Mus musculus: one gene and its partners. The protein of the gene in region 1 interacts with the protein of each later gene in a biochemical or structural test. Links are inferred from orthologs where the notes say so. Each region holds a gene or a part of one and is shown in the gene's direction. Other genes may lie near its edges. The genes, in order: Rps6ka1, Mast1, Grid2ip, Pard3b, Htra1, Grasp and Mast2.

Region 1 (4,180 bases):
TAGTTGGGTTTTTGGGGTTTGGGGGGTTTGTTTGTTTTGTTTTGATACAGGTTCTTACTGTGTAGCCCTGGCTGGCCTAGAATTGGCTAAGTAGCCCAAGCTAGCCCTGAACAGAGATCCTCCTGCCTCTGCCTCCCTACTGCTAGGATTAGAGGCGTGAGTGACTTCTCTCCACTTAAAAATGTACTGCATTAAAATGTCTTTATCGGGGAAGGTTGTCCCTGTGCACATTTGTGGAGGTCAAAGGACTGCTTATGAGTTGGTTCTCTTCCACCACATGGGGCCTGGGGATCAGACTCAGGGAAGGCAAGCTCTTTTACCCATTGAGTCCATCCACGGACCCACCCCACACTCTTTTAAACACCAGTGTGCTCCTGACCTGCTGTGTGACTTCGGATAAATAGCTTAGGGTGTCTACTAGGATGGGGTGGAGTCTCAAAAAAAAAATCACAAGCTGCCTGAAGGTGGAGGTCGGAGATACTCAACACGACCTGGCCGGCAAAGCCTGGGTTCCATGGCCATAACCAAGCAAGGAAACGTAACAAAAAATAAATTCCCTATCAATGACGCCTGTCTTCGCTGGAGGCTTTTAATAAACGAGCCAGCTTGTCTTTCACCTGAGAGTAAGTCTCACGACACCTGGGGCCTAAAATCTCCTTAAGAGCAGGCCAAATCTTACTGGAGAGAATCCTGATCCCACCAGAACTGGATTTTGCCTTCTTTCCAGGGACTCCTGCTCAAGTCAGACCACAATCTGGTCTGCCACGGAAGAGGCGCGGACCTGGCCTGAAACCAGCGCCCTCAAGTGATAGGGCACAACAGACTAGGAAGGAGAAAAAAAAATGCGTATTAGGAAATCACCCTGGGGGCGCTGTGGGTCCTGGCGCTGGCTGGCTTGGGACCCGGGGATCACATGGAGACCCCAAAGTGTGGGCTCCCGTGATGTGCACAAGCTTTCGGAAGGGGGCGATCCTAAGGGCTTGGAGAGCTGAGAGCCAGAGGGCACAAGGCCCAGGCTCCTTCCACGCCTCAGTCGGGATCAGGCCCAGGACGTCCCATGTAAATGTGGGGTGGCAGCCCCTCCCCCTGGAGGGAGAAGGCACATCTGGGTTAACATCCCAAAGGCTGCTAGGACAGGACAACGGAGGCCCCAGCGAGGTCTGCAAAGCGGCACAAAGCCCGGGAAAACGGAACCCGCGGAGCCTCCGGTGGGCAGGGCCGACAGTGGGCTGGGGTCTCTCGTGAAGGCAAGGCTGACTCCCGGCGCGTTGGGGGCGGGGGTCCGCGCCGGGAATGCCGCGCCGTGGGGGGACTGGGCGGGGCTACTCAGGCCCCGCCCCCGCGCAGGTAGCCAATGGGCGCGGCGGCGCCGGGTGACGGAGCGAGCCGAAGTGCGAGTGCCGCGGCGGCGGCGGACGGCCCATCCAGAGCGCGAGGGGCTCAGGGGCGTGCGGGGGTCTCGGTGTAGCAGCAGGGACCCCGTGGCCCAGAGGCAGCGCTGCCCGGGGCCGCCGGGAGGAGCGCGGGCGGTCCGGCAGCGGCGCGATGCCGCTCGCCCAGCTCAAGGAGCCCTGGCCGCTCATGGAGCTGGTGCCGCTGGACCCGGAGGTGAGTGAGAGGGGCGGGGGTTGGGGGGACAGGCGGCGGCGGCCGGCCAGCCCGGATCCGCACCGGGGCGGGGCGGGGGCGGCCCGCGGCGTCTCTGCAGCCCCGCGGGGACGTGAGTGCCCTCCGGTCTCTAGCTCACTGTCCGGCTCCACCCCCTTGTGCTCCGGGTGTGCGTGTGTAGGGGATGGTTCTGCTGGGCTCTCAGTACCTCCCTGCAGTAGCCAGGAGAGGAATCTCCACGGTGTGTTGAGATCTGACACCTAGGACCCATCCCGCTTATCATCTTTTAGTAGCTGTGGGAGTTGCCCCAATCAGTGCAGAAGGGAGAAAGGCTTGGGTCAGATGTCTAGGCTTCTACTAGAGACAAGGATCATGGGAATCCGGTTTCTCACCTTAACCTCTCCCCAAGACCTCTCTTCGTTCCTCCACTTCTGACCTTAGGAAGGTAGCCCTGCTGAATCCCAGGCAGTTATGGAACGTGGGACGATACCACCTCTGGAGTTGGAGCCTGCTTTCCTTTGCCCTAAAGCTAATGACACCGGGTCTTCCTACTTCAGATTATGCTGAAGAGTGGGGAAAGTCCTTAGATCTTGTGAAGACTGTCTCTGTAGAAGAGACTCTGCCTCCGTCTTCCTCTCTCCCTCCTTCCTTTCCTGTAGAAAAAGGCTGAGCCCTTGGGCAGTATGGCTTCTGCCACCTAGCCTTTCCCAGAAGCAACTCCTGTCTTTTTTGAGGGCTTTGTGGTCCAACCCTGAGCATGCAGGAGGCCACTTCTGTGCTGTCCTGTCACCCTGGGATCAAGGTCAAGTTTTGAACCAGCAACTTTAAAACTTTCCCTGCTCTCCTGCTGCGAAGGAGGCAGGTGAAACTCTGCCTTCCTTCACTGGAGCTGTTTTGGGGTACAGGAGGCTGGGGTACAGGAGACCTCACTTGATCCCAGAACCTAGATGCTTTTTCTCCTGGCTTGAACCCCTTTACCTATGCTTGGTACCTCAGGTCAGTCACTGTGAGCCCTGTCTCTCAGGACCACGGGCAGAGAGAGGATCCACAGTGAGATCCCCAAGTCTCCAGGCACTCAGGGCATGCTGCCCCTTTAAAGGGATGGGCTACACTGGCTATTGGAGGGTGGGCGCGGCTGGATTAGGTAACCAACCTGAAGGCGCAATTTGGAGTAAATTGTTCTGGGATCCTTGCCACGGGGGTTTTACAGGCCCTACACAGGCGCTCAGAGGCTGTCTGGCTGACTCACCCTCCTAGGTGAGGAGCACTGCTCTCTGCAGCCCCTGGTGCTCCCCCCACACTCCCCAGGACTGGGGCACAAGGCCCCAGGGAAGGCTCAGAGGTGTACTCCTTGGCTTGGGCACGCCCCTGCCACCTGGGCCTCCAGAGGAAGGGAGGCCTGACCTCGGTATGGCTAGGGAGGGACTCAGCCTAGGGACTCACAGCTTTACCCTAGCGCGGAGAGTAGAGTTCTAGGAGTGCTGGCCTCCTCCAGGGCAGCACTTCCTGCTTCCCTTTGGGAAATCCTGAGGCCAGAGGCAGCCTCATGGGGGCCAGGTTAAACCGGAAACATCTTAGTTTGAATACTGTTGCACCTGAATTCAGGCGAGGGGAGACTGTCACATTTCCTGGGATGGGGGAGAGGAGTTTTTTCATTGAGTTTCACTTCAGAAATGTTGTGTGGCCCTAAGTCCATCTTCAAGCTGTCTGGGCCTCTCCTTCCAGCACCACAGATGAGTTTCTAGCTCTACTTCCTGGGCCTGACAAGGTGCAAAACCCTGGGTCCTGCTGCCTGGGTCCCCTCCCCCAGGCCATGGAGGTGCCTGTGGACTGGGTGTTATTGTTTGGGTAACCAGAGCTGTGGGGCAGTGAGGGTGTGCATGCTCACTTGAGAACAGGGCCCTGCTGTTCTTCGTGCAGATGACACGTAAGTGATACAGTGCCTAGCCTGCAGGTACTGGCGCCATTGTGGCCAGGAAGAAGGCAGGTAAGGGGGCTGGCAAGGGCATTTGGCAGAAGAGGTCTGGGATCTGAATTGCCCTGTCTTCCCATTGCTGTCACCAGAAGTGGGCTGCTGGCAGGCAGGGCCCAGGTGGACTAAACCAACTGGACGTAGGGGTGAGGATGTTACCTGGGCTTTTTTTGGTTCTGCTGAAAGCAGCAGAGCTTTGTCTCCAGCTGCTACTTATTGATGTCATGCAACTTTAAAAAAGATGACCCCCCCTCCCATTTTCAAATGGGAAGGCAGGACTCAGGGATGCTGGCGTGTGCATTAATATCAGGACTAGAACCCAGTGCTGTCACTGTTTCCCTCCAAGCAAGAGAGACTCAAAGATGAGTGTGGGGTGGGTTTCAACTGGCACAGGTGGCAGGTAGGCAGAGAGCAGCTCCGGATGTTGGCACACACTTCTCAGGCCTCAGGGCCTTTGTCCAGCCTTGGCTGAGGGCTAGCAGTGTCCTGGCACTTGGCCCCCAGGCTCCAACAGTGCAACAGGGCTGCCAGGGCTGGGCTCAGAACCCAGTTCCTGGGGCTGCTTCCTGCCTGCAGGGCACGTGCTGTCTTTCCCCATCT
Region 2 (3,500 bases), on another chromosome or scaffold:
CTATGGCACCAACACGCCCAGCTCAACTGTTTCAGTGAGTATGTGGAGGTGGATGGATGGGTGGGTAGGGACTCAAGTGACCACACCAGGACCAGAGGTCCCAGCTGTCCTGAGAGGCCGGGTTTCACGGCCCTTCCGAATGCTCAGTTGTCCATCCATTAGAGGTGACAGGTCTTCCGCTGAGGCCCATCGCTGCCCTCACTGCATTTCCCTAGGAACCTACTCTCGTTGTCCGTGATGACTCAGTCTTGGGGACTAAGGCATGTATCCAAGTACCATTAGCTAGCCAGAGCCCGCATAGCTTCTACCTCGAGCCCAATCGCTTACCCACTGTACACCTCGGAAATCTCTGTCCTTCAGTGCCCCTTGCAGGAAAAGCTCTGGTTTTCCATCCTTTGCCATGGTGGTTACAAGCTTTGATCATGTGACCTGACTGAGGGTATAAAGGAAGGCTTCCTAGAGGAAGTGGTTGAAGCCAAGATAAAGGATCAGTTGGAACTTGGGGGTGAGGTGTTCAGGAGGTCAGCACCATGGTCAACTCCAAAGGCCTCAGAAAACAGGAGCAGAAGCAATCTGAAAGTATCTGTTGTATGGCAGAATACCGTGGCATAGCCTGTAATGCCCCCTGGAGACTCTAAAATAGGAACCTTAGGAGTCCAAGACCAGCCTAAGCTACATGAGACCTTTCCTCCACCCCTTACCACCACTGGTGGGGGAGCAGCGTAAGGAAGGAAGAAGGAAAAAGAAAAAAGGAAAGGCTGGGCAGTGGTGGCGCACACCTTTAATCCCAGCACTTAAGAAGCAGAGGCAGGGTGATCTCTGAGTTTGAGGCCAGCCTAATCTACAGAGTAAGTTTCAGGATAGAGGATAGCCAGGGCTACATAGAGAAACCCTGTCTCAGAAAAACCAAACCAACCAACCAAAAAAAAAAAAAAAAAAAAAGGAAGAAGCAAAGAGCTTGCTTTTCATGCCTGAGGCCCTGGGCTTGATCTCCAGTACCACAGAAGAAAGAAGGATGGGAGGAGGGAAGGGAAGGAAAAGAAAAAGCTAACTCTCCAGTCAAGGGTTGGAGCAGAGCAGGTGATCCACAGGGGTGATCCAAGCATAAAAAACAGCTAATACCAAGGCTCCGGGGGCAGAACCGGATCTGCCATGTTCAAAGATCTGCAGGAGCAGTAGGGATGGAATAGAGCGGGCAGAGGTACGCGTAGGAAGAATGACAGCAAGGAGGTAAGGCCAGGAGGTCTAGTGGAAGGACTTGAGAGCGCACTGTAAGGTAGGAGCCAATGGATGGTTCTGCATAGCAATCTTCCCCAACCCCTTGGTGGTTTGAGATAGAATCTCAGTGTAACCGAGGCTGGCCTCAAACCCTCTGTCCTCTTAAGCGCTGGGATCACAGATGGGAGCCCCAGGCCAGGGTCCAGTGCTGTGCTGCCCCCGCGGTGGCTCTGACCCACCGCCCTCCCCGTAGTCCTCCTGCTCCTCCCAGGAGCGCCTGCATCAACTACCGTACCAGCCCACCGTGGACGAGCTGCACTTTCTGTCCAAACACTTCGGCAGCACCGAGAGCATCACCGACGAGGATGGTGGCCGCCGCTCTCCCGCCGTGCGTCCTCGCTCTCGCAGCCTCAGGTGCGCAGGCACTGAACCTCCCTTCTGGAGGGATGAGATTTGGTGCATGACCAGGGAATCTTCGGTCCTGGGAAAATGTAGTGGAGTGCGAGATGGGGCGGGGGAGAGGGAAAGGCAGCGGCGGGGGTGGGGGTGGAGTGGGGGCGGGGCAACACTAAGTCAGGGGACTGGACAGGATGAACTTCTTCTCCTGCAGCCCCGGCCGCTCCCCCTCCTCCTACGACAACGAAATTGTGATGATGAACCATGTGTACAAGGAGCGGTTCCCAAAGGTGAAACAACCCGCCCCCCCCCGCGCCCCCCACTCCCACATCACACGACTTCCCTTAGTTCGCTTGAGCGCCTGAGCTCTGTGCGCCCCCTAGCGATCAGGACGCGCGGCTCCAGTGACCACAGCCTCCTAGAGCCTTGCATCCCTGTACCGTTGTCCAGGCCACTGCACAGATGGAAGAGAAGCTGCGGGACTTCGCCCGCGCCTATGAACCTGACAGCGTGCTGCCGCTGGCCGACGGCGTGCTCAGCTTCATCCACCATCAGATCATTGAACTGGCCCGAGACTGCCTTACCAAGTCCCGCGATGGGCTCATCACCACGGTCTATTTCTATGAACTGCAGGAAAACCTAGAGAAGCTGCTGCAGGACGTGAGTGCCAATGACCTCAGGCCCCGCCCATGAGCAGGACAGACCCCACCCGGTTCCTACACCCGTCAAGAGCAGTATTCCAGGCTGGCAGGGTACTGTGGTTCCCACTCTAGGTCTGATGGAGGAGTTGGAAGTTTGTCTCCATACAGGCCCTTCAGTTATTTATGCAACTGTCACCCTTTCTGGTGGCCTCCTAGACCCTCCCCCTTACCCCTCATTAGGAATTGAACTCTGTGAACCAGTGGCCTTGAGGCAAGTGCTTTACCACTGAACTGCATTTCCCCTTCCTTCCTTCCTTCCTTCCTTCCTCCTTCCCTTCTTTCTATTCAAAACAGGGTATCCAGTAGTGCTGGCTGGTCTCCAATTTGTCATGTAGCTGAGGATGGTCTTGAACTTGAGAATCTTCAGTTTCCACCTATTGAGTGCTGGGATTACAGTCTTATGCCACTGCCAACTTCCACTTATGAGATGCTGGGGATGGAACCTAGGACCTCTACATGCCAGGAGAGCAGCACTCTACTAACTAAGCTACACTCCTGGTTAACACTAAGTTGTCCACTAACTAGCCTTGAAATCACTGCAGAGCCCCTGCAGGCTGTGGATTTGACACCTTCCTGTCTCAGCTTCCTGAGTAGCTGGAGTCTCAGGCCTGCAGTACCACACCCAGGCCGTGTGCTAGTTCAAACCCTGTATAAGCAATACATCATTCTATACATTTTTGCTTATTTTCTTTCTTGGCTTTGGTACTACTGTGTCAGGACCATGACTGGGAAGGTAAAGTTCTGTTCAATACAGAGTCCCTGGTGTCTGGCATGGGGCCCAGCTCAACAAATATTGCTAACATGTCTCTGAGAGCATGGCTCTTTGGTTTGCCTAACATGGGTAGCCCTAGGTTCCATCCCTAGCAGAATACACACACACACACACACACACACACACACACACACACACACACACACCATTACTTAAACAAGTGTGTGAGCCTGCTGTGACAGCACACACCTGTCATCCCAGCACTAGGAAAGAGCATCCCAAGTTCCAGGCCAGCCTGGCCTACACAGCAGACCTTGCTTATTGATTAATTAATTAATTAATTAATTAAAAGGGTATACAACTAACAGCAAACAAGATAATACCCTATCCATGTTAAAGACTGTGGAGAACGCTTTCTGAGCACTTCCTGTGCACTGGGCCCTGGCAGCTCAGAAGACAAGTATGTCTGCCGT
Region 3 (3,500 bases), on another chromosome or scaffold:
GTCATCCAGCCTTCAGTAGGCTGAGGAGAGAGGGTCATGAGTAACCCAGGGCCTGCCTGGGTTACATAGCAAGTCCTTATCTGAAAATGGGAGTTGAGGGGTGCTGAGTGATTGCTCAGTGGGTAGTGTCTGCCATACAAGAATCAGGACCTGAGTGTGGACTGCAGCACCCCTGTGAAAATCTGGACATGATGGTGTACAGCTGTTTCCTAGGTGACAGACCACTGAAGCTCATTGGCCAGCTAACTTAACCCGTTGGTAGAGTCCTAGGTTTAATGAAGAGATGGTCTCAAAAAGTAGGGTAGATGGGCCTAAAGAGATAGCTCAGTAGGTAAGAGCATTTATTGGTCAAGCATGAGGACCTGAGTTCAAATCCCCAGCACCCATGTTATTAAAAAAACAAAACAAAACAAAACATGGCACAGGACAAAGACATTTGATGTCAACCACTGTCCTCACACATGTGTACACATTGACATATATGTGCACACATACCAGACACACACCAAAGGAGACTTTAAAACAGGGCAAACCCCTCAGGTCTCTCTCTTTAGTCTTCTTGGATGTCACCAACATCTTCCTTCTTCATGGACAGAGTTCCAAGAATGGCTGCCTTACTGACCAGACGGGGAGTCAGTTCTTAGCTTATAACTTGGATTATGCAGCATGTCTTTTTTTTTTAATTGTGTGTGTGTATGTGTGTGTGTGTGTGTGTGTGTGTGTGTGTGTGTGTGTGTGTCAGAGGCCAGAAGAGGTCGTCAGATACCCTGGAGCTGTAGTTACCAGCAGTTGTGAACGGTCGGATGAGGGTGTTGGGAACGGCACTCAGGTCCTCTACAAGAGCAGCAAGCATTGCTGAGCCATCGCTCTAGCCCTGGTTTACAGAATTCTTTCCTTCCTCTCTTTCTATTTTTTATTTTTTGAGACAAGGTCTTACTGTGTGGACCAGGCTGGCCTGGAACTCACAGGGACCTCTGCCCCCTGAGTTCTGGGATTAAAGGGGTGCACCATATCCTGCTTCTATCTAGTGCTTCCTGCCTGCACCCTCCTCTTGCTCCTGTCTTCCTCTTGGACCTCCTGGGCCCTATCTCTTTGGGGGTCCTCAGGATGAATCTCAGAGGCAGGCTGGTTGCCTGGGCTCTCCTGCTCTGACCATCTCACGATCGATTGCTTGCAGCTTGGGGAAGACTCTGACTATGACAAGCTGAGTGACATGGTGAAATACCTCGACCTGGAGCTCCACTTCGGCACCCAGAAACCTCCGAGTGAGTGGCGGGGCCATGCTGCCTGCTGCCTCGTAGCTTCCGGTTCCCAGAGTATACACTGCTAGACACTGTGTCTCCAAACTTCAAGACCTTTCTGCATACATGCATGAATCCCTTGATGGTCCTGTAAGCTAGATCACAGAATCACTTTCACTTCTTAATGAGGAAGCCCAGAAAGGCTAGGTAGTTTGCACCAAGTCACAAAGCCATGGTAGGATGAGCATCCTTTTCAGTCTCCCTCTCCACCTCATCCTTTCTAGGTATCTCCTTGGAGTGTGACTCCAAGAAGTCAGTAGTTTGTTCTTGTATGCAGCACAAACTCAGGAAGTGGTTGGTTTTCATTGTTCAGCCTGAGGAGTGCAGGGAAGAGGGCCTGCGAGGGGACAGTAGTGTGGGGTCTGACAAGCCATGTACTAAATGCCTTAGGCTGGACCTGCGGGTCCACGACCGAAAGGCTGAAGAATGAGGCGGGAATTTGGATGCCTGGAGCTGATGTAGTTGAGTTGATGCATCCCTGCAAAAGTTCCTTGACCACTGGTTGTAGCCACACCTCTCCTTTGGCCCTGCCACAGCAGCCCTAGTCTAGCCCCGCATTCCCCATTAAACAGTACTGTTTTCTCTTCCAGAGCCAGTGCCCGGCCCGGAGCCCTTCAGGAAGAAGGAAGTGGTGGAGATCTTGTCCCACAAGAAGGCCTACAATACCTGTGAGAAGCTTTAGGGTCCCCACCTTCAAGGGCCCAAAAAGCTGAAACCCGCAAAGGGGAGATCGAAATTAAGATATGGGGACTGGGACCGGCCACACTGCTAAAAGAAGGCCGACTCTCAGGGCAGCAGGATCCCCAATCTGTACTCAGGTGTACTCCTAGGCACCCTCTATTGGCACCATAATGCGTTTCTTGGTCCTGGTCCTGGCCATACCTCCAATCATATTATCGACTTCGTCCCTCCTTAGTTCCTCGCCCCGCCCACTGTTCTCACCCTTCTACCAGGTATCTGTTTGGGGGGATCCCGCCCCTCTTCTGTCAATCTCCAAGACCCCTATTCCCTGGCTACTCTTACGCAAAGCCCTTCTCCGCTAGGTACTTCTCTCAGGCCCCTCCTCGCTATGCTCTTCCCAGTACCCTCGCCGAATCAAGTCCCTACTCTTCCCTGAGGCCTCGCCCCTAATTCGGCCCCGCCCCCCCAGGGCCCCGCCCCGTCTCACCCTAGTGCCCCACCCGCAGCCATTCTCCTAGCGCACCTGAAGCTGACCCCTGGCGAGCTGCGGCAAGTGCTCATGAGCATGGAACCCCGGCGCCTGGAGCCTGCTCATCTGGCGCAGCTGCTGCTCTTCGCTCCTGACGCCGACGAGGAACAGCGATATCAGGCTTTCCGCGAGGCTCCGGGTCGCCTCAGTGAGCCGGACCAGTTCGTCCTGCAGGTGCTAAGACCAGCCTCCAGCCCCCACACCATGGCTAGGGCTCCTTCGCATGGGCTCCCTCTGCAGTCAGAAGTTGGCTTCTGTCCCAGGTCCCTTGAAGACTGCCCTTGGCTTCTTAGTCCTAGTTTAACTCCTTTGAGTTCTCACTTTAGGTCAAGGCAGACGCGATGAGATTGTTCCCAGGGTCAGGTTAATTTTTCCTAAGGGGTACCATGTTCATCTGTCAGAGGACTCACTCCCCAGGCTGGGCAGAAGGTCCCGGCTGGGGATGCATGAATCTGGCCTGGGATGCATGACTTTCCTTCAGATGCTGTCGGTTCCCGAATACAAGACCCGCCTGCGCAGTCTACACTTCCAGGCTACCTTGCAGGAGAAGACAGAGGAGATACGAGGCAGCCTCGAGTGTCTGCGACAGGCATCTCTGGAGCTCAAAAACAGCCGGAAACTCGCCAAGATCCTGGAGGTCAAGCCATTCCCATCCCTGTTTGTTTAATCTGATCTTTTTGTCTCCTGGGGCGCCCAGCCCAAAACCTACACATGGGGAGGGGGCGGGGTGAGTATCTGGATAGGATCATTCTACTTTTCTCCCCACAGTTTGTGTTGGCCATGGGTAACTATCTCAACGATGGACAGCCCAAGACCAACAAGACCACTGGCTTCAAGATCAACTTCCTGACCGAGGTGAGGGCCAGGCAGGCACCCATCTACTCTAGCTGCCAGACCTGGAGGCAGAGTCACGTTGTGGCAGCTGAGCCAAGTGTGGCGGCATACACCTGTAATCCCATCACTTAGAAGGTCGAGGCAAGAGGATCAGG
Region 4 (3,500 bases), on another chromosome or scaffold:
TGCATAGGGAGAGTGCTTTTTGCTGGATTTAACTGTAACACAGCCTTAGTATTTATGCTTGCAAATAGCACCTGCAATTTGTCCCTGAATTTTCTTGTATTTTTCTCAGTCTCTTCTCAGTTTCCTTTATTGACTATGCACTGTCATCTATAAAATGTGGTGTTTATTATCATTGTGTGTATTGTTTCTGTAAGTTTTGCCTCCTGCAAGTTAATGATGAAACCATGATGTAATACCTAATTCTTGCGGTGTGCTGGCTTGACTGGGTGGGCTCCGGGGCTCATCTAGACTAATACTTTTTGTTTTGGAGATGAGGAAAATGTATGTCAGCTTAAGCTTGATTACCATAATCAAGTAGTGGGCAGGCACGGAACACGTCCTGAGGTTGTAAGGTTCGTGGTACAAAACAGAAAGGCTGCAGTTGGACTGCCTCTGTTCAGTGCCCAGTGGGGACATGAAGTGTGTAACTTTAACATGTTCCCCATCTTTTCTTATCTACAAATGCTAACAGGGGGACAGGAGTTAGTTTGGTAATAACCCATTTGCTTATCATACCTAGGACCTTTAATTTGATTCCCTAGCTCCCAAACGATACCTTAGTACCACAAGTGAAAGGATTATAGTAAGTTAATATCAGTGAAAGGCAGGGAGGTGCTGGGCACACTCTGAGAATTCTGTACATTGGTAGCTATTATTACAGTTCTTTACATATTCCAGCAAAGGTGGAAGTCTATGCTGCTAACCAACTTATGAGGCTGTTGCATACATTAGACTTATCACTGCTGCCTGGCCTTGTCTTATAGCCCTTGTAGTACACAGTGAGAAGCTAGAGTCACATCTGTGGTAGCAGTGGAAGTAAAAGTGAGAACAGGGATAGCAATATTAAAAGGTAGAGCATCTGCCAAGCCTTCGAGTGTTGGTGTGCATTGAAGTAGATACAACACATACGTGTGTTGATGTCACATATGTGGATAAGCTGCACAGTTATTATTTTCAGAAACATGGTGCATTCTCTTGATGACAATAGTCTCTCCCTGGTAACTGGAGGGGAACAGTCAGGCCTTGGTAGACAGTGAGAGTGCTGAAACAAAAGCCTTAATGGAATTTTTTCTATCTTGTAAGTAACCATTTGCCTACTAATATTTCCATCACTTAATCTTGTTATTGATAATAAGGAGACTGGCTGGAACAGGAGTGGAGTCAAGGAATGGAGTGGAGGGGAGTAGGCCTTGGGCAAGAAAAACTGTACAAGAAGCAGATAATCTATGGTAGAAGATAGGCCCTGAAAGCTCTCTTATGTTTTACATCTCTGTGCTGTAATTGTCTATTATATTAAAGGAGGCTCCTTTCCTGCACTTCAAATGGAACTAGAATTGGAGCAACAGCATTAGGAAAAGTTGTTTTCTTCCTTGCTTTGCTTTATTCACAGAATAAATACATTTAATTCACCATGCATTAATTGTCTTTATGATAATGTAAAGAACTTAACTATGAAAATTGTTATCACTAATGGTTTGATTTCCAGGCCAATCAAATAAACAACTCTGGCAGTAATAACAGGTATAGCGGATGAGATGACTGATTAATACTAATGGGAAGCACAGATTGTGTTAGGTGGGTTATGAGTCTGCATGCCTTGGTCTAGGAAGCAGAGGCAGGCAGATCTCTGTGAGTTTGAGGCCAGTTCATTCTACAAAGAGCTTGTGTGTCTCTCTGACCACATATGTGTACGTGGATGTATATCCTCTCAAACATACAATCTATAGATAGTGACTAGTTTAGTGGCTTTTCAAGTTCACATGTATGTCTATCTATGTGTGCATATATACACATATGTATAAATTTCCCCGAGTAAAACAAATTTAAATACTGTCATCTAAAATCTTACCACAGCTGTAGAAAAAGAAACTGGGTTTCAGAGATGGCAGCCTACTTGCCCAAGATAACCAAAGATAATGGCAAAGCTGGAGTTCAACCCCCAATGTTTACTGACTTAACACAGTCTTTTCTAAACTGCCCAGCCAGAACTATTCTCAGAATTATGAGTCTTTCCACTATAGCTCACTACTCTATCATAGAGAAGGCTGACCTTTCACCCTTTCTCTTCCAGACTCTCCAGGCAAAGATTTTGGTCCAACTTTGGGTCTGAAAAAGTCCAGTTCCTTGGAGAGCCTACAGACGGCTGTGGCTGAAGTCAGGAAGAATGATCTGCCCTTCCACAGGCCCAGACCACACATGGTGCGGGGCCGAGGCTGCAACGAGAGCTTCCGAGCAGCCATCGACAAATCGTACGATGGGCCAGAAGAGGCAGACGCGGGTAGGGCCATATGCCCCCTTAAGTGGGCTCTTCATCTCATTACCATCTGCATATTATAAGCAAAAATGTTCACTTAACTACTGAAAAAAATGATTTAAGGATCACAATTATATTTTTGATATTAAAAGTAATTCATTTTCCTGATATGTTTTGCCCTTTGGCTTAAGGAACATTAGATTGGAGGATGCAATGTGCAATTTATTTCACAGTGCAAATGGGGGAAAAAAATTCTCTTTCACTTTTTTAGAAGGACCAACTGTCATTTACCCTTAGGGCAGGAGCACTAAGCATGCGTTTCTTGGCATTCTTATTTGAATCATTAAAAGCAACATCAACCAGAGGACTGACTGCATTAATTGCGTAGGAGCAGTGGGTTATATTTATACGCAAAAATCTCTTTTGGAAAGAAGCTCACCCTGCTTGTTCCCAGCATGTGGGCTTTCTGAACTGATCGGAGGTTAACAAGCTAGCTTTCAGAGAGGTTACTGCTTTAGCACATTTCAAGCCTTTTGTGCTACCAGCTAGCAACCAGTGTGACCCACTCCTAGCCTCAGACCTTGCTTGAAGTACCCAGGGCTAAGAAATCCTATCTTCAAAGGGTACAAGTAGCCGTGTGGTTCAGCAGAACATAGAGTACTTGTATTCCTTCTGTATTTTACATTTTGACGTATTTTATATATACTAGTGGTAAGTGCCCCTGACTATGGGTATTGATTTTTCTCTCTACAGATGGTCTGTCTGATAAGAGCTCTCGCTCAGGCCACACAGCTCTGAATTGTGAGTCTGCCCCTCAGGGAAACCCCGAGCTAGACAATGTGGAAAATAAAGCCAAAAACATCAAAAAAACAAAAGAGAAGGAGAAGAAAAAAGGAAAGGGCAAGCTGAAAGTCAAGGAAAAAAAGCTGAAGGAGGAACATGAGGACGCAGAGAGGAAAATGAAGAGGAAGGGCTTCGGTGCCATGCTGAGGTAAGGGCCCGCTGTGAAGGCACTTGGCATTGTTTCTCCTAGCTAAACCACGCCATTGTGTATGCTCAGGAAAAGGGTCAAGGTTTCTCTCATCTTCAGCTATATTCATAAAAATCAAGACATTCGTAAAAGTCAAGGCTATAACTGTATTGTTTGTGTGTGAAGAAGGCACAAAAAGCCTTTTGAGGTGTCCCCTGAATCTTGTGCTGATGACGA
Region 5 (3,500 bases), on another chromosome or scaffold:
GGAGAACTGTGGTGGTTTGAATGATTTCCCCCACCCCACCCCCACCCGGGATGCTCTGGTATTTAGCACTTGGTTCTCAGTTGCTGACTGTGCTTGGGAAAGCTTAGGTGGTATAGGCTTGCTGGAGGAAGTACTGTCACTGGGGGAACGTCACCGGGGGTAGGCTTTGAGCTTCCCAGCACTCCCAGTTTGCTCTCTCTGGTTTGTACTTGTGGTTAAGGATATGAGCTCTTAGTTTCCTGTTTCTGCCTCCACCACCATAGTGAACTCTTATCTCCCTGGAGTGTAATCCCAAATACACGTTTCCTTCTAAGAGTTAAAAGAGCCTTGGTCATGGCAGCTTTTCACAGCAGCAGAAAGTAACGGATGCAGCTCTGTGTGATGCCTCTGCAGAAGTGGAAATGGGATGCATTAGATGAAACTACAGCCTCGGGGGTGGATCCCAGATCTTCCTGTTATTTACGTGTGTCATTAAGACCATTTAGTATCCATGGAGAAATCCTGGCCTCAGTTTCCCCAAATATAGCATGGTAGCAATGCTCATTTTCAAAGTCTGCAACAAAGTAGAAAATTAAAAGGCTGTGAAAGCAGACTTAATAAGGTGATTCTGCCATGGATTTGTCAAGTTGGTTTGTCTCCCTAAAAGTTGCAGTCCTTTCCCTGAACCTGGGAACATCATCACACCATGGGAAAAGAGATCAGAGTTTGTGGCTGTATCAAGCAGCTTCGGGTGGGGAACTGGGCGGATGGAGGCTCCCTTCCTTTCAGTATAGGAAGCTGGTCCCTGCATGTCCCTGTGCTCAGTTGCATCCAGTTGGAGTCCTGCAGACCCTGATAGAACAAGAATAAGTCACAGATGCCCTGGAGCTTTTGGGGGAGCCTGGGGACATGCAGCTGTGATGGGTCACAAGAGGACTGGAAAGGTCCCAGTTCTTACACAAAGCCCAGAGCCTAGGGAATGATTCCCCTTCCACAGAGAGGCGCGCGCGCACATGTGTGCGTGCATGCGTGCATTTATGTATGTGTGTGCATGTGCAGATGTGTGTATGCGTGCATATGCTTGTTATGTGTGATTACATAAATGCGAATATGTGTCCATATGCTCATGTATGTTCTACACATGTGAGTATACACACATATATGGAAGTGCTTGTATGTGTATGAGTTTGTGTGCTTGAGTTAGTCTGCATGTCTGTAAGTGTGTGTTGATGCTTTAATGCATTTTTGGCTCCCTCTATCCCACGTCTTGTTCCAGGCCTCAGCACAGGCTCAGTAGCACTAAACTGTCTCATCTCTGCCTTTGTCCTCAGGGCAGGAAGATCCCAACAGTTTGCGTCATAAGTACAACTTTATTGCTGATGTGGTGGAGAAGATCGCCCCGGCTGTGGTTCACATTGAACTATATCGCAAGTAAAGAGGCCTGCCCTGTTCCCTCACTAAGAAATAGCACTAGAGCTGCTTCTGAAGCACATTAAAGTGTCAGGAATGTCACTGGGCAGATTCTTGGGTTACGATCAAGTTCTCTGCCTTAGGGAAAGTTCCCTATTTAGACCTATAATCTTGGCCCTTTCAGCATTTTAATAACTTCTAGCTCTGAAGTGATTCCCAGGGAATATTTCCTAAGTGGAATATTTTTTGATGCATTCCAAAAAGTAGCTTAGCGTTATTTTTAAAATGTTAAATGCTTGCTACAATGTGTGTGAGTTGCTCTTGCAGAGTCATTCCCTTGTGTGTGCAAATGAGTTCAAGCTCAACTAATGTCTGTTTCAGGCTTCCTTTCTCGAAGAGGGAGGTGCCAGTGGCCAGTGGGTCAGGATTCATCGTATCGGAGGATGGACTGATTGTGACAAATGCTCACGTGGTCACCAACAAAAACCGGGTCAAGGTTGAGCTGAAGAATGGAGCTACCTATGAAGCCAAAATCAAGGATGTGGATGAAAAGGCGGACATTGCGCTTATCAAGATTGACCACCAGGTGAGACGCATCTGGGGCCCGAGTGCCTCCTGGGCCTGCAGTGCCCAGCTCTCAGAAGGTGAGGTGGAGATGGTGAGGACATCAGAGCTCCCTGGTACCCACAAAATGAAGCTGCAGGGCCAGACAGGTCTCATCAAAGAGGGACCTGAGCAGGGGAAAAGGGAGGAGGGGGGGAGGGAGGAGGGAAGCCCTTGGAAGAAGCTGGCTCTCAGATCAGAGGTTTTAAAAGCAGCATCTTCTCTTTATAAAGCAACAGGCTACAAAGAACTTAATGGGTGGCTGGTGAGAATGGAAACTCCAATCCTTGATGATGAAGCATCTATTACAAAGTTATGTTTGTCTCCACTGAGGTGACCTGGATTCTCCATGGCTACAGAATGGGCTTTGAAAAGAGTTTTAAAAATTGTCTTTAATTATGTGTTGTGTGGGTAAATGGGTATGCACCGAGAGATGTTGGATACCCTTGCCTAGAGTTACAGGGTTATGGGCCACTAGACAATGGGTCTCTGCAAAAGCAGTATGCTCTCTTAACGCCAAGCCATCTCTCCTTGTTAAGCACTTGTTTGTTTATTGTATGTATATGAGTGCACTGTCGCTGTCTCCAGACACACCATTCCAGGTGTCCCATTACAGGTGATTGTGAGCCACCGTGTGGTTGCTGGGAATTGAACTCAGGACCTCTGGAAAAGCAGTCAGTGCTGTTAACCACGGAGCCATCTCTCCAGGTCAAGGTTTTGGGAACCTTAAGACAAAATTAACACCTCTCTCTTGAGACCCTAAGAATCCTTAATATTATGACATGACCATAGTCCCCTCAAAAGGGCTGCAATGCATTATCTACCCAAATTATAGCCTTCCATTAGCCTGTAACTCAGAAGCAGGGCCAGTACAAAACTAAGACACAGTAAGAGTGAGCTCAATTTGAAAAATGCTTATGTGAAGTTGCTCTGCGAGTTATTGGAGTAGCTACTTCTAGTCCTACCTGAATTTTATTTTATCTTATTTTATTTTATTTTTGGATATTTTTGAGACAAGGTCTTAAGTTCTAGCTGTCTTCGAACTTACTTTGTAAACCAGGCTGGCCTTGACCTCAAAGAGATCCTCCTGACTTTGCCTCCCAAGTGCTACCACACCAACAGCAATTTTTTATTAAAGAAAATGAAAGAAAATGTTTTTAATTTAATATTCTGCTTACAGTCACATTTGCTTAGCGAAGTCTTTGTTGTCTTAGGTCTCATGTGGCACAGGGTGCCTTCAAACACATCTATTATCTGTGGATGGCTTTGAACCTTTGACTCCCCTGCATCTACCTTCTGTATGTGAGGGTTATGGACATGTAGGACCAAGCCAGGTTTATATAATATTGTGGATCAAGCCAGGGCTTTGTGAGAGCTAGCCAAGTACTCTGCCACATCTCCCACACTTGTTTAGCAAGGCCTTCATGCCTGAAACTACATACAGTTCTTACTGGATCACCAGCAAACGTTCCCAGTCCACCTCATGTAGATCACATGGTGATGTGAGG
Region 6 (3,025 bases), on another chromosome or scaffold:
CAGTGTTTCTCTGTATGGCCTTGGCTGTCCTGGAATTTGCTCTGTAGATCGGGCTGGCCTCAAACTTAGAGAGATCTGCCTGCCTCTGCCTCCCAAGTGCTGGGATTAAAGGCATGTGTTGCCACCCTTCCCCCACAACTGGTTTTGTATATTTTGAGTAGAGAAAAAGAGATGCCCAGGTCTTCCACCACTGTGGAAGTGAGTTCTGGGTGGTTTCTCCAGGTCACCATCCTGCTCTTTCTGGCTGGAGCCTTTCCTCTATGCCCTGGGAAACAGATACTCACTTCTGCTCTTCCTGGCAGGGGACACTATTGCCAGCGTCAACGGTCTCAACGTGGAAGGCATCCGGCACCGGGAGATTGTCGATATCATCAAGGCGTCTGGCAACGTTCTCAGGTATCCGTGTCTAGGTGCAGTGCCTAAGGGCTCCTGAGTTTGTGGTGCTTCCTCAGCCTCCAGGCTCGCTCAGCCTTTGTCCCCCTCTATCCCCCAGGCTGGAAACTCTGTACGGGACGTCCATTCGGAAGGCAGAACTGGAGGCGCGCCTGCAGTACCTTAAGGTGGGGATCAAGAAAGTATGGGCTCTGCCTTCCTCTTTCCGGTCCCTGCTCCTCCGGCCCTTTTAAGGATTCCGGCATCTTTCTTAAACTCTGTTAGCCCCGAGGCTTCTGTGCCTTTCTCCCTTTCCCATGCGTCCCCATATCCTGCTGGGGACCTGGTAGTCCTGACAGTTGGCTTGCATGTGTCTTACAGCAAACCCTGTACGAGAAGTGGGGAGAATACAGGTCACTTATGGTACAGGAGCAGCGGCTAGTACATGGTGAGTAGGTCGGGGCGTCCCCACGGATACCCCCAGCAGCACTCCCCTCTTAGAACTCACAGGGATGGCCTGGAGCTACTGCTTGGGACCTCACATTGCCCTAAGCTGATAACACAGTTTTGTTCTCACAGTCGCCCTCTGGAGGTTAGGGTTGAGTACTGCTGTTTGTTGCCGGCCTTTAATCCCAGAAGCAGAAGCAGAAGCAGAGGCAGGCTGATCTCTGATGCCAGCCTAGTCTACAGTAGTAAGTCCTCGGACAGCTAAGGCTCACTTCTGTGGACTGCTTTCCTGTCTTAAGAGGCGTTCTTGAGTTTAACTCCAGCTTTACAGACAGAAAGACTGGGGCCCAGGGCACTCGTAGGTAGCCACAAGGAAAGAACAGGATCTTCTGCCCATGCCTTCTGCCCCTTAGCCTAGGGCGTGGCTCCAGGATTCAGGAAGCTCCCGGGTCTTCTGTCCCCACAGGCCTGGTGGTGAAAGACCCAAGCATCTATGACACACTGGAGTCCGTGCGCTCCTGCCTCTACGGCGCAGGCTTGCTTCCCGGGTCGCTGCCCTTTGGGCCTCTGCTCGCCGCGCCTGGGAGTGCCCGCGGGGGTGCGCGGCGGGCCAAAGGGGACACAGACGACGCCGTGTACCACACGTGCTTCTTTGGGGGCGCCGAGCCGCAGGCACTGCCACCCCCGCCACCCCCCGCGCGCGCGTTAGGCCCGAGCTCCGCGGAGACCCCCGCGTCCGTGCTGTTTCCCGCACCTCGCTCCACGCTCAGCCGCAGCGCCAGTGTGCGGTGCGCGGGCCCGGGCGGCGGCGGGGGCGCGCCGGGCGCACTCTGGACTGAGGCCCGCGAGCAGGCCCTGTGTGGCGCCGGCCTACGCAAGACCAAGTACCGCAGCTTCCGCAGACGGCTGCTCAAGTTCATCCCCGGACTCAACCGCTCCCTGGAGGAAGAGGAGAGCCAGCTGTAGGGGCGCGGGTGGGCAGGTGGGAAGTATTTATTTATTTATTCATCGTAACAGCCTGTGCAAAAAGTAGGGGCGGTAGTGTCGGTCCAAGGACCCCGGGAGCCCAAAGCTGCGGGAGAGGGTCCTTGCTAGCTCTGGTCTTTCTGGTCGGTTCATTGGCTTGTCTGCTGAACAAAAAAAAAAGGGGGGGGGGGCTAGTTGCTTTCTGCCCTCCCCTAAACCACAGCAGGAGCTCTACAGGGGGAGAATAGACACTGGGAATTGGGAGAAATCTGGGGGACCAAAGAGGGCTGTACCAGGCTAAAGTCTGGGTCAGTCGTGCCTTGTGGGGGTCCTGTCCCAAGAAACCCTCTCCTCAGATATACTGGCTCCCCAGCCCTTCCTTAGCCTTGGGGAGAGGAGATCCACGATGGATCATTCCCCACCCTACAGAGACAGACAGACAGATACACACACACACACACACACACACACACACACACACACATCAATGGACCAGTGGGCCCCAAGGGGGCAAGGTGCTGGTCCCCTCCCTCCAACCTTGACCCCTAAGGGCTTAACCCCTGTCCAGGGGCCTATAACTAAGTGGGGTCCTGCCAGGCCGGGGTCCTGGGTTCTGTGCTCCTTGGGGAACAAGAATGAGTTCATTCAGGTGGGGTGGGGCAGCCTGGACTGTTCCACCGTTTTCTGCATATGTTGCTTCTGAACCACAAACTGTATAAAATTGATGGGTTTTTTTTGCATCTGTGTCAGTGTGGTAACTGCCTGTGGGGGAGGACTGTGCTCAGGCAAGCTCTGACTCCACCATGCAGCCCCCTCCAAACACACACGGGCTGTACTTCACATCTTTCTTTTAGCCTGAAGCCAGGGAAACTGTCTAGGGGATTTTAATGAACATGTTCTGGCCTGAACTGAGGCCCCACACCCTCTTTAGAACCCGGGCCTCTCCTTCAGGTGCATTTTTGAAGCTTCCCTCCCCAGATACCCACAACAGATACAGGATCGCTGTCTAATGTTCCTTCCTGGCCCATCTGAAGTCTGCCTTGAGTAGTAGCTAGACCCACAGACTTAGCCACTGTTCACCCAACCTGTGACAGACAGGTCAGTCTCCTGGCCCTCCTCCCACTCTTTACACCTGTGCCTCCCTGGCTAAGCCCTGAGCTTCATTTCTGGGCTCCTTACTGCTCAGAATGCTGGCTACAGACATGTCCCTCTGGGCCTCTGCATTGGCTTTTTCCACAAG
Region 7 (3,500 bases), about 18 Mb from region 1:
GCATAGGCTGGGATATACTACAGGGAGAGGCTTAGCTGTACCACAGATCTCATTGTTCACTTGGGCCCACAGCCCTGGAGACACGAGGCCGTGGGACCCCTCAGCTAGCTGAGGAAGCTACAGCCAAAGCCATCAGCGACCTAGCTGTGCGTAGGGCCCGTCACCGGCTGCTCTCTGGGGACTCTATAGAGAAGCGCACCACTCGCCCTGTCAACAAAGTAATCAAGTCAGCCTCAGCTACGGCCCTTTCCCTCCTCATTCCTTCAGGTAAGGCCAACAGGGAACTAAGGTAAAATGCATAGGAAGGACATGGGAGGCTGGGGATGCGTGGGCACATGTGTAAAGCCGGTAAGTATTTGAGAGACGGCCTCCTTTCCATGAACATAGAGGTCTCTGAAGATCCAGGTTGATGTTTATGATGTACGCACACGGGCATCAGAGAGCAAGCAGGGTTGTAGTGGACTAGGAGTGGGTTGGGGTCAACAGCTTAGGCCAGCTAGGATCATGGCTGTGTTAAGACCTCTGATGGTGCACGCCTTTAATCCCAGCACTTGGGAGGAAGAGACAGGCAGATTTCTGAGTTTGAGGACAGCCAGGGCTACACAGAGAAACCCTGTCTTGAAAAACCAAAAAAACCAAAGAAGACCTCTGATCATTAAGTCTTGGTTTCTGCTTCTCCAGAACACCATGCCTGCTCACCATTGGCCAGCCCTATGTCCCCACATTCCCAGTCATCCAATCCATCATCCAGGGACTCTTCTCCAAGCAGGGACTTCTTGCCAGCCCTTGGCAGCTTGAGGCCTCCCATCATCATCCACCGAGCTGGCAAGAAGTATGGCTTCACCCTGCGGGCCATTCGAGTCTACATGGGTGACACTGATGTCTACACCGTACACCACATGGTGTGGGTATGTCTGGCCAGACAGAGTTGTTGTCCTCCAGCTGTGTACTCCCACCTTCCCCTTACCAGAGCCTATCTGCCTTTTCTTTGGTCACTGCCCACATAACTCACAGAAACCAGAGGGTGGTGGTAGTCAAGGGTCACAACAGCAGCAGAACCAGGCTCCCGATTAAAGGCTTTTCTCTTCCTGAGGCAGCATGTGGAGGATGGTGGTCCAGCCAGTGAAGCAGGGCTTCGTCAGGGTGACCTCATCACCCATGTCAATGGTGAGCCTGTGCATGGGCTAGTCCACACAGAAGTGGTGGAGCTGGTTCTGAAGGTTAGTGCTAAGAATGCTTCTGTGTGATGTATGACTGCCCTGGACTTGTGAGCCTGGACTCGCCATAAGGGGAGTGAGAGGATCGGGTACGCGTACATGTAGCATTAAGGATAGATGTAGGGACATGCAGGATTTGAATGTGCAATACAGGAGGTTTTTCTCCATATGGTAATTAACCTCATCTGCTGGCCAAACCCCAGACCGTTCTAAACTGCAAGTAAGACTGATGTCAGGACAGGAGAGGTACTGCTGTCTTGCCCGTTCCTAAACTCCTCTGGAGTGCCACTTGGAGCATTTCCTATCCTGTGAGGGAAAACAGCCTTTGATTAGTTTACATGTTGGTATGGAACATCCAAAGGTTTAAGTTAAGATGCGGGGAAGAGTAAGAGTAGGGGAGACAGCCCCATCCAAAGGTTCCAGCTTTGTCTGCTTGGCTTCCTAGAGTGGAAACAAGGTATCAATTTCAACAACTCCCTTGGAGAACACGTCAATCAAAGTGGGGCCAGCTAGGAAAGGCAGCTATAAAGCCAAGATGGCCCGAAGGAGCAAACGGAGCAAAGGCAAGGATGGGCAAGAAAGGTGAGACAGAATTGGTCCAGAGGTCTACCCTGAGATGCCCACATTTGATCAAGCCTACAGTATGCTGTCCCCTTATCTCTACAGCCGAAAAAGAAGCTCCCTATTCCGGAAAATCACAAAGCAGGCCTCCTTGCTCCACACCAGCCGCAGCCTTTCTTCCCTTAACCGCTCCTTGTCATCAGGGGAGAGTGGTCCAGGCTCTCCCACACACAGCCACAGCCTCTCTCCCAGATCTCCTCCTCAGGGATACCGGGTAGCCCCAGATGCTGTGCACTCAGGTACAGGGGTACCCCTGCAAATCAGAAACCATCCCTTGGGAAATTGGAATGAACTTGAGCCATCTGCTTCCCATAGGCCAACTCTAAAGCTCTTTGAGCATAACCTTGAAGATCTATAAGTGTTGGGAAGATTGATGGGTGGGGGCAGTGAAGGTAGATTAAGTGGACTGTAGTCACCAGTGGTAAAAAGTGAACAGCAGTCTTGGGGCATTCTAGAGCAAAGTTCTGCCTTACTGCTCAGTCACTTCTAACAGCTAACACTGATGTCTTGTTTTCTGTTTGTCTGTCCACCCATGCAACCATCCAAAGTAGGAGGGAATTCCTCGCAGAGCAGCTCTCCCAGCTCCAGTGTGCCCAGTTCTCCTGCTGGCTCTGGACATACACGGCCCAGCTCTCTTCACGGTCTGGCACCCAAGCTCCAACGCCAATACCGCTCACCACGGCGCAAGTCAGCAGGCAGCATCCCACTGTCACCGTTGGCCCACACCCCTTCCCCACCAGCAACGGCAGCTTCACCTCAGCGTTCCCCATCACCCTTGTCTGGCCATGGGTCTCAGTCCTTTCCTACCAAACTTCACTTGTCTCCTCCGCTAGGTAGGCAGCTCTCACGGCCCAAGAGTGCAGAGCCACCCCGCTCTCCCCTACTTAAGAGGGTGCAGTCTGCTGAGAAGCTGGCGGCTGCACTGGCAGCTGCTGAGAAGAAGTTAGCACCTTCCCGCAAACATAGTCTTGACCTGCCCCATGGTGAACTAAAGAAGGAACTGACACCCAGGGAAGCCAGCCCTCTGGAGGTAGTTGGAACCAGAAGTGTGCTATCCGGGAAAGGGCCACTTCCAGGAAAGGGGGTACTGCAGCCTGCTCCTTCACGGGCCCTTGGGACCCTACGGCAGGATCGAGCTGAACGCCGTGAGTCACTGCAAAAACAAGAAGCAATCCGGGAAGTAGACTCCTCAGAAGATGACACTGATGAGGAGCCTGAGAACAGCCAGGCCACACAGGAGCCAAGATTGTCCCCCCACCCAGAAGCAAGCCACAATCTACTCCCTAAAGGTTCAGGAGAGGGTACAGAAGAGGACACTTTCTTGCACAGGGATCTAAAGAAGCAGGGCCCTGTACTCTCAGGTCTAGTGACAGGGGCCACACTAGGCTCCCCCCGAGTAGACGTTCCTGGGCTCTCCCCAAGGAAGCTCAGCAGGCCACAAGCCTTTGAGGAAGCTACCAACCCCTTACAAGTCCCTAGCCTGAGCAGGTCTGGACCCACAAGCCCCACCCCCTCTGAAGGCTGCTGGAAGGCCCAGCACCTCCACACACAGGCACTAACTGCACTTTGTCCCAGCTTTTCAGAACTTACCCCTACCGGTTGTTCTGCTGCCACCTCCACCTCTGGAAAGCCAGGGACATGGTCCTGGAAATTCCTTATTGA

What was found.
Region 2: the proteins of Rps6ka1 (region 1) and Mast1 interact in a test that uses a peptide from one of them, tested with the Homo sapiens proteins (2 studies listed by BioGRID and IntAct, with this or other methods). The link is inferred for Mus musculus from reciprocal best matches to the Homo sapiens genes RPS6KA1 and MAST1.
Region 3: the proteins of Rps6ka1 (region 1) and Grid2ip interact in a test that uses a peptide from one of them, tested with the Homo sapiens proteins (2 studies listed by BioGRID and IntAct, with this or other methods). The link is inferred for Mus musculus from reciprocal best matches to the Homo sapiens genes RPS6KA1 and GRID2IP.
Region 4: the proteins of Rps6ka1 (region 1) and Pard3b interact in a test that uses a peptide from one of them, tested with the Homo sapiens proteins (2 studies listed by BioGRID and IntAct, with this or other methods). The link is inferred for Mus musculus from reciprocal best matches to the Homo sapiens genes RPS6KA1 and PARD3B.
Region 5: the proteins of Rps6ka1 (region 1) and Htra1 interact in a test that uses a peptide from one of them, tested with the Homo sapiens proteins (2 studies listed by BioGRID and IntAct, with this or other methods). The link is inferred for Mus musculus from reciprocal best matches to the Homo sapiens genes RPS6KA1 and HTRA1.
Region 6: the proteins of Rps6ka1 (region 1) and Grasp interact in a test that uses a peptide from one of them, tested with the Homo sapiens proteins (2 studies listed by BioGRID and IntAct). The link is inferred for Mus musculus from reciprocal best matches to the Homo sapiens genes RPS6KA1 and TAMALIN.
Region 7: the proteins of Rps6ka1 (region 1) and Mast2 interact in a test that uses a peptide from one of them, tested with the Homo sapiens proteins (2 studies listed by BioGRID and IntAct, with this or other methods). The link is inferred for Mus musculus from reciprocal best matches to the Homo sapiens genes RPS6KA1 and MAST2.

Annotation. Positions count from the first base shown.
Region 1 is NC_000070.6:133,884,998-133,889,177, reverse strand, and holds the start of Rps6ka1 (ribosomal protein S6 kinase alpha-1), read left to right. Parts: upstream 1-1,380; 5' UTR 1,381-1,545; coding exon 1,546-1,608; intron 1,609-4,180. UniProt on the Homo sapiens protein: Serine/threonine-protein kinase that acts downstream of ERK (MAPK1/ERK2 and MAPK3/ERK1) signaling and mediates mitogenic and stress-induced activation of the transcription factors CREB1, ETV1/ER81 and NR4A1/NUR77, regulates translation through RPS6 and EIF4B phosphorylation, and mediates cellular proliferation, survival, and differentiation by modulating mTOR signaling and repressing pro-apoptotic function of BAD and DAPK1.
Region 2 is NC_000074.6:84,927,354-84,930,853, reverse strand, and holds part of Mast1 (microtubule-associated serine/threonine-protein kinase 1), read left to right. Parts: coding exon 1-34; intron 35-1,471; coding exon 1,472-1,632; intron 1,633-1,828; coding exon 1,829-1,904; intron 1,905-2,064; coding exon 2,065-2,274; intron 2,275-3,500. UniProt on the Homo sapiens protein: Microtubule-associated protein essential for correct brain development. Appears to link the dystrophin/utrophin network with microtubule filaments via the syntrophins. Phosphorylation of DMD or UTRN may modulate their affinities for associated proteins.
Region 3 is NC_000071.6:143,384,830-143,388,329, forward strand, and holds part of Grid2ip (delphilin), read left to right. Parts: intron 1-1,177; coding exon 1,178-1,265; intron 1,266-1,891; coding exon 1,892-1,969; intron 1,970-2,488; coding exon 2,489-2,685; intron 2,686-2,992; coding exon 2,993-3,148; intron 3,149-3,279; coding exon 3,280-3,366; intron 3,367-3,500.
Region 4 is NC_000067.6:62,341,824-62,345,323, forward strand, and holds part of Pard3b (partitioning defective 3 homolog B), read left to right. Parts: intron 1-2,110; coding exon 2,111-2,317; intron 2,318-3,046; coding exon 3,047-3,284; intron 3,285-3,500. UniProt on the Homo sapiens protein: Putative adapter protein involved in asymmetrical cell division and cell polarization processes. May play a role in the formation of epithelial tight junctions.
Region 5 is NC_000073.6:130,960,203-130,963,702, forward strand, and holds part of Htra1 (serine protease HTRA1 precursor), read left to right. Parts: intron 1-1,310; coding exon 1,311-1,410; intron 1,411-1,770; coding exon 1,771-1,975; intron 1,976-3,500. UniProt on the Homo sapiens protein: Serine protease with a variety of targets, including extracellular matrix proteins such as fibronectin. HTRA1-generated fibronectin fragments further induce synovial cells to up-regulate MMP1 and MMP3 production.
Region 6 is NC_000081.6:101,230,232-101,233,256, forward strand, and holds the end of Grasp (general receptor for phosphoinositides 1-associated scaffold protein), read left to right. Parts: intron 1-302; coding exon 303-396; intron 397-493; coding exon 494-560; intron 561-753; coding exon 754-820; intron 821-1,285; coding exon 1,286-1,785; 3' UTR 1,786-2,525; downstream 2,526-3,025. UniProt on the Homo sapiens protein: Plays a role in intracellular trafficking and contributes to the macromolecular organization of group 1 metabotropic glutamate receptors (mGluRs) at synapses.
Region 7 is NC_000070.6:116,307,224-116,310,723, reverse strand, and holds part of Mast2 (microtubule-associated serine/threonine-protein kinase 2), read left to right. Parts: intron 1-72; coding exon 73-267; intron 268-681; coding exon 682-908; intron 909-1,097; coding exon 1,098-1,220; intron 1,221-1,662; coding exon 1,663-1,799; intron 1,800-1,883; coding exon 1,884-2,077; intron 2,078-2,386; coding exon 2,387-3,500. UniProt on the Homo sapiens protein: Appears to link the dystrophin/utrophin network with microtubule filaments via the syntrophins. Phosphorylation of DMD or UTRN may modulate their affinities for associated proteins. Functions in a multi-protein complex in spermatid maturation.